Linked DNA regions of Macaca fascicularis. The protein of the gene in region 1 binds, or shares a complex with, the protein of each later gene. Links are inferred from orthologs where the notes say so. Each region holds a gene or a part of one and is shown in the gene's direction. Other genes may lie near its edges.

What was found.
Region 2: the proteins of FBXL5 (region 1) and IREB2 are in contact, whole or in part, in a cryo-EM structure (PDB 6VCD), measured with the Homo sapiens proteins. The link is inferred for Macaca fascicularis from reciprocal best matches to the Homo sapiens genes FBXL5 and IREB2. Residues at the interface, in NP_036293.1 of Homo sapiens: Asp656, Glu657, Tyr661, Cys662, Asp663, Asn664, Ile665, His669, Ala670, Asp671, Thr672, Ala673, Ser674, Gly675, Cys676, Gln677, Asn678, Leu679, Gln680, Cys687, Arg688, Ser689, Gly690, Glu691; in NP_004127.2 of Homo sapiens: Asp89, Phe90, Ser129, Asn217, Val220, Glu221, Arg224, Arg228, Ala758, Gly759, Ser760, Arg763, Asn764, Thr777, Pro778, Arg779, Asn782, Ser783, Tyr784, Gly785, Ala786, Arg788.

What each region holds. Positions count from the first base shown.
Region 1 is NC_088379.1:14,781,784-14,785,526, reverse strand, and holds part of FBXL5 (F-box/LRR-repeat protein 5), read left to right. Parts: intron 1-116; coding exon 117-303; intron 304-2,108; coding exon 2,109-2,291; intron 2,292-3,743.
Region 2 is NC_088381.1:55,824,331-55,828,073, forward strand, and holds part of IREB2 (iron-responsive element-binding protein 2), read left to right. Parts: intron 1-519; coding exon 520-685; intron 686-2,858; coding exon 2,859-2,996; intron 2,997-3,743. UniProt on the Homo sapiens protein: RNA-binding protein that binds to iron-responsive elements (IRES), which are stem-loop structures found in the 5'-UTR of ferritin, and delta aminolevulinic acid synthase mRNAs, and in the 3'-UTR of transferrin receptor mRNA.

The sequences.
Region 1 (3,743 bases):
TCTTTTTGAGATATATGATCATAATACGACATTTGAGCTGTTAATAATTTAAAAGGGTGTAGAGTGAAACAACACGAATTAAGCATCTTTCCTCATGAATATTTTGTTTAATTTAGGTTTTTCAGCCTATGTTAATGGAATATTTTACCTATGAAGAGCTTAAGGATATTAAAAAGAAAGTGATTGCACAACACTGCTCTCAGAAGGACACTGCAGAACTCCTTAGAGGTCTTAGCCTATGGAATCATGCTGAAGAGCGACAGAAATATTTTAAATATTCTGTGGATGAAAAGTCAGATAAAGGTGAGATTCATATATATAGATAAAGAACAATTTATTAGTTATAAGGTCATTGACATCTTACTGATATGAATTGTAGATTTTGGTTGAGGAATAATTTAAGTTAGGCCTGTACTGTGGTCAGTTAAAGGCGTTATTTTCATGTATCAATTTAATTGAAGACAATGGTTCTCATTTTAGAATTCAGTGTTGTGTATGATAATTTAACATATACTTGGGACGTATTCAGTGTAGTGTTTCTTGAATGAATTTATATATGAGTGAATCCAAATTATTGAAAACTACCAGTACAGAGCACTGGCCTGCTCAAAACTGAGCAGTCAAAATTGTTGAAAACTACCATTACACAGAGCACTTTTGTGGTATCATCCTGCTTCCTGAGCTTTATTGACCATAGTGGCTGCTTTTCTCTTTCCTTGTGTTTTTTCATTGGTTTTCAAAATCAGTTATGTTTATAATTTATTTTCATCCTTTCCTGTGTATCATTTTTTCAGCTTGTATCCAGTAATATTCAGAGGAACAAGTACTAGAGGCAGAGTTTTTCTGTGTTGTTACTCTGAAAATACAGATGAGAAAGGCAAATAAAGTTTATTTTTTAAAAAATAAACTACTTCCTCAGTAATTATTTATGTTCACTTCTTCAAGATTGGCGGCAGCAATGGGATTTCTGTTAAAATAGCTTGGAGTTTTTTGAAATTGGTCCTTTTATTTTTATTTAACAATGTAGGTGAAATGCATGTTGAAACAAATAATTTTACAAGTTAAGCAATAATTAATCCCATAAAGCTTGTATGCCTTACTCTGAAATATAGCTTGTGCTTTAGTTACCAAGCTAAGACTTGTTGTGTCTGGTTTAATTGTAATTATAACATGGGATTTAAAGGCATCACACTTACTACATTTTATTTTCCCACTCCTTCAAAGCAAATTGTAGCTGTATTATGTTTAAAATATTTGGCATTTTAAAAGTGGTAGTTTAAAGAATGTGATCATAGCGTTTCTATATTTAAGTTACTTTGTGAAACAAATCAGATATATAAAGTACTCAAATTCTTCATATGACTTTAATGATGAATCTCTTATATTTTTTATTGTAACACCTCATTTTCATTTTTATTTTGGAAATTATTACTGAAATAATAGGTTTATATATCCATAAGTACTTCCTGCAATAGTTGCTGACAAAAGATTCCTTATCAACGTGAAACAACATCAGAAATATTTGCATTTTGTCGTGTCACCTGCGACATAAATAATTGAAGTAGTTTAAAGCACCTCTAGGTTAAGGCAGTCAGATTTCGCAGACCTCTTGTATGAAATGTGAAAATCAAAGAGGGAATACAAGGAAGATTATTGACAGGAGTCATAATGCATAAATGGAAAAGGTCATGAGATTTGTGTGTGTCATTAAAAATGCCTTGGAGATCTCATAATCTGGCTGACTCTATACTTGTTGATTTAAAGCTGTATAACCTGTTTGGTTCCTTTTTCAAGTGATGCTACTTAATGCTACAAAGTGAGTATTGTTTTCTCTGTGATGCCTTTGTAAGAGGAAGTTAATTCTGTGTTCATTATTGTAGCTCCCACTGATGAAGTATGATTTGGGCCATGATAGTTTAACCCTACTTGTTCTTAACAAGTTTAACATCCCCATGTTACCTCTAATACATGTTATTTCATTTTCACATCTTGCAAGCAGGAAGGAGTTGACTTCAGGCACTGGATTTTGTTTATAGAAATGTGATTGTAATTTCTTATTGCATTTGCTCTTTAGCCTTTACTGGTAAAGTTTTTCTTTTTTATTTCAGAAGCTGAAGTGTCAGAACAATCCACAGGTATAACCCATCTTCCTCCTGAGGTAATGCTGTCAATTTTCAGCTATCTTAATCCTCAAGAGTTATGTCGATGCAGTCAAGTAAGCATGAAATGGTCTCAGCTGACAAAAGCTGGATCGCTTTGGAAACATCTGTACCCTGTTCATTGGGCCAGAGGTAGGTAAATGGGTTTTAAAAATATTTTCATGTTTTTTTGTAAATGAATATTTATTTACATGAATCAGCAATGCCAGGGAGGGAAACTCTGAGAGATTCATCAAAAAGTAGATTTTATAGTTAGATGATGTGTTTTTGGTATATATATTTTTGGAAAACTAGCAATGCTGAAATTCATGGGTAAATTATAATGGTGTCTGCAATTAAAAAAATTAGGAAAATATATTTGTGGGAGAGGATGCAAAAAGATTGACAAAATGATAATTATTGAAGATAGGTGATAGATACATGGGGATTCATTATGCTAGTTCTTTCTGCTTTTGACTGTTTTTCAGAATTAAAAGTTAAAAATAAAATTAGTATGCTTTCGGCCGGGCGCAGTGGCTCAAGCCTGTAATCCCAGCACTTTGGGAGGCCGAGACGGGCAGATCACGAGGTCAGGAGATCGAGACCATCCTGGCTAACACAGTGAAACCCCGTCTCTACTAAAAAATACAAAAAACTAGCCGGGCGAGGTGGCGGGCGCCTGTAGTGCCAGCTACTCAGGAGGCTGAGGCAGGAGAATGGCGTAAATCCGGGAGGCGGAGCTTGCAGTGAGCCGAGATCCGCCACTGCACTCCAGCCTGGGTGACAGAGCAAGACTCCGCCTCAAAAAAAAAAAAAAAAAAAAAATTAGTATGCTTTCAAAACTGCTTTAAGTAATTATGTTTAATAATAATTATATGAATATTTTAAAAATACAGAATAAATTCTATAAAATTTAAGGGTGATATACCATTATGGCTCCATTTGGGTGATGGCTCAAAATAATTGTGAATCTGTTTCTGTCTTTGACCTATCTTTATTTGATTGGTAATGCCACATTCTCTGAATCACAGTTTCATATAATATCATTATAGTAAATTACTTTCACATGTGAACAGTTAAAGACAATTTTCTTTTCATCAGCATATAATGCAGTTATGGGTTAAATACAACTAATATAGCATACATTTTTTCTGTCACTGAATTAAACAATTTCTGCTAGGTGAGTTTTTTTTTTTTTTTTTTTTTTTTTTTTTTAAAGGCAGAGTTTCGCTTGTGTTGCCCAGGCAAGAGTGCAATGGCACGATCTTGGGTCACTGCAACCTCTGACTCCCAGGTTCAAGCGATTCTCCTATCTCAGCCTTCCAAGTAGCTGGGATTACAGGCGTGTACCACCACACCTGGCTAATTCCGTATTTTTAGTAGAGATGGAGTTTCACCATGTTGATCAGGCTGGTCTCAAACTCCTGACCTCAAGTGATCCACCTGCGTCGGCCTCCCAAAGTGCTGTAATTGCAGACGTGAGCCACCGTATCCGGTCCGGGGGAATATTAGCTTCCAAATTCACATAATTTTAAAAATTGTTTTCTGTTTATGACTTTATGTCTGATTTAAATTGTGAGTCTAATTTAAAAGCAATTTTATTCA
Region 2 (3,743 bases), on another chromosome or scaffold:
CTTAAAGTAATTAAGAGTGAATCAAAGTGTTTGTGAAATGAATTTTACTCACTCAGGCATTCCAGTTTACTTTTAAACTTAGTCATTTTTGTTGGAAATAATTTAAATTTATTAAAGACTTTATACAATTTAATCATTTTCTTTTTGCCATACTAGGGGATGTCTACATTATTGAATTCAATTCTGATATTCTGTGCTTTTTAGTTTTTCTGTGAATTCCTTGAATGTCAAGTATTTGTCATGGTTGCAGTATGATATTCCTAAATTAATGCAACTCTTGTATGAAGGTTTTTATCTCTGCTTTTTTCAGGGCTTTGAGGTTATGTACAGGAAAGTCAGTTACAAAACACCTGATGTTAACATGAACGATGTTATACTCTAGTTTGTTAGACTAAAAATGAACTGTTTAAATTGAGAAACCTGCATTTTTGTCTTTATCTAACTTTTTGCTGTGGCATTTTAAAAATAATATATAGGTATGACTGTTTGCTTGTTAATCGTAATATTTTATTGAATCAGATGTTCTGCCTTATTCAATACGGGTCTTGTTGGAAGCTGCTGTACGAAATTGTGATGGCTTTTTAATGAAGAAGGAAGATGTTATGAACATTTTAGACTGGAAAACCAAACAAAGCAATGTTGAAGTGCCCTTTTTCCCTGCCCGTGTTCTTCTTCAAGATTTTACGTAAGTAATGGGTTTATTTTTCATAAATGAACTCTTAGAGTGTGTTTCCTTTTTAAAATTGAGACTCTTGGCTGGGTGTGGTTGTTGACACCTCCCAGCACTTTGGGAGGCCAAGGCAGCAAGATCACTTGAACCCAGGAGTTTGCGATCAGTGTGGGTAACATAGTGAGACCCTGTCTGTACAAAAAAAAAATTTAAAAATTAGCTGAATATAGTGGTGCATGCCTGTAGTCCTAGCTACTCTGGAAACTAAGGCGAAAGGATTAGTTGAGCCCAGGAGGTTGAGGCTGCAGTGAGCTGTGATCCCACCACTGCACTCTAGCCTGGGTGACAGTGAAAGACCCTGTCTCTAAAAATAGAAAAAAAATAAAAATTCAGACTCCCTGATGGATGGTTCTGTTTTTTTGTTTTGTTTTGTTTTTTTAATTTTAAGGTTAGTTTATAAACTTAAAAATTTTGCCCTTTCTAAACTGAAGCAATTCATTAAAAATTAGGCACCTGTTTTGTATACCATTTATTCAAAAACTGCTTTTGCTTAACTACCTTCTTATGATCTCTATGTAACCAATAGGTTTCTCAAACTTAACATATTGAAAACTTGATTTTCTCTGTCACCTAGGCCAGAGTGCAGTAATGCAGTCATAGTTCACTGCAGCCTCAACCTCCTGGGCTCAAGCGATCCTCCTGCCTCTGCCTCCCAAAGCTCTGGGATTACAGGCATGAGCCACTATACCCAGCCATCAAAACTTGATTTTTTGATTGTCTGTCTCAACTCACCTATTTCTTTCTAAGTCTTTTCTGTTATAGTAAATGTCACCATACGCTCCCATTTGTTTAGGCTTCAAATCTAGGAGTTAGCCTTGATTTTTCTCTCTCTTTAATACCCTCTAACCAGTCTATCAGCAAGCTCTGTCAGTGCTACCTTTGAAATATATCTTTTGTCCAATTATTTCTTTCCACCTCTATCACTGTCATTGTGGTTCTAGTCCCATTCTCTCTTAACCTGGACTATAACTGCAATAGCCTCTTAACTGGTATCCTTGCTGTCACACTTGGAATCAATAGTCTGTTCTTTACACAGAAGATGGAGTGACTTGGTTACAAATGTAAATCAAGTCATATTATCCCTCCATATACCAGCTGGCTTCCATCACACTTAAAACAAAATCCAGAGCCTTTATCATACTCTGAAAGATTTTGCCTGATCTGGGTGTCCAGGGATTATTTATTGGAAGAGTTAACCTTGAGCTGAGTTTTGAAAGAGGCATAGGGGTTAGCTAGAACATCCTCTTCACCCCACCCACTCAAATCTGGTTTGTGTGCCACAGCTCTTTGTAACCTATGTATGCTGCCATTACAGTACTTGCGATACATAGCCGCATAAGAAATAAATGGTATTTCTTACACCATTTATTCAGAAACTGCTTTTGCTTAACTACCTGCTTATGATTTCCACATAGCCAATAGGTTTCTCAAACTTAACATATTGAAAACTTGATCTTATTTTGAGATACAGTCAACACTCTGTCACCTAGGCTGGAGTGCAGTGACGTGATCATAGTTCACTACAGCATCGACCTCCTGGCCTCAAGCTGTTAATTTATGCAGCTATTATAGTACTTACGATACTATTCTGTAATCATTATCTTCCCTAAAGTTTTTTTGAGAGCCAGAACTATGTCTGACTTGGCCTTGTACCATTGGTATCTAGCACACTGAAGGCATTTGATAATACTTGTTATATATTTGGCTGGATAGGTGGGTGGATGAATGTAAAATGGCAAAAGCTACTGTGGATAGCTTTGGGGTAACATGAAGGCACTAGGCAGAAGGGGGTGGAACTAGGAAAAGGGGAGGGTGCATCAAAAAAAATACACGGCGAAAGAGAGTTTCACAGGCAGTTTCCTTGAAGTTCACTTATGCCTCCAAAAATTCTCTCTTATTATTTTTGGCACATTTGCCCAAGTAATTCAGTCCTTAGATAATGTTTAATGTTAATTCCCATTAAACCAGGATACTCCTAAATTTAGATAATAACTACATTATGAAAAATGAATGTAAACTAGACAGGGATACTTTTAAAATGTGAAAATGAAAAAGTTTATATTGATCATTTATTAAGCATGTATAAAAAACAATTTGGACTATAATTTGACCATTCTTTATTTTTTAGTGGAATACCGGCAATGGTGGATTTTGCTGCTATGAGGGAGGCAGTGAAAACTCTTGGAGGTGATCCTAAGAAAGTCCATCCTGCTTGTCCAACAGATCTTACAGTTGACCATTCTTTACAAATTGACTTCAGTAAATGGTACGTCAATACAGATATTTATAGACAGCCATGCAAGTTAACTGACTGGAAATGTGTCGTGTAGAGGAAAAGGAGTAGAGATAATTTATGGCAGAGAAAAGTATGCTAAATTTAGTATTGGCTAGTATATAAAAGCTAAAACTGGTGAAAAGTTTGGAATGGTGGGTTTTTTTGGAATTAGTCTGAGTGTAAAGTTATTTTCATATTTGTGTATTTCTGCTGACATTTTTGGTAGAAATGTATACGCCTAGGACCTGCCTTTTGGAGTGAACCTCTGAATTCAGTCTTTGTTTCCTTTTTGTTTTTTAACCTACTTGTCTTTCAGAAAGAATCGAAAGATGTGAGCCATGAATGGTTTTAATTATTTGGTGATTAAAAACATTGAACTCACTAAAGCTCTATTTTCCTTCCACTGAAATAAGTATCTTGTATTTATAAGGCCCCTTTGATTAAGACCAAACTAGAGAAGACGTATTTCTGTTGCCATAAATTAACTTTTTTAAAACATTCCCTGGAGTAGTGGAATAAGACTGTAATTTATTATAGCCCATGAGAGAGATTTTTGCCCTCGAGATAAACTGTAGCTCTAAATTTCTTTTAAGTTGTTAGGGGGAAACAATCTGTTTCAGTACTTGCTAAAAGTTATGTGAATTAGTAGAGTATATGAAAGTGATTTTACTGGACTCTTAGAATTATGTTTTCATTTCTGTAAATTTAAATGACCTGTTATATATATATACACACATA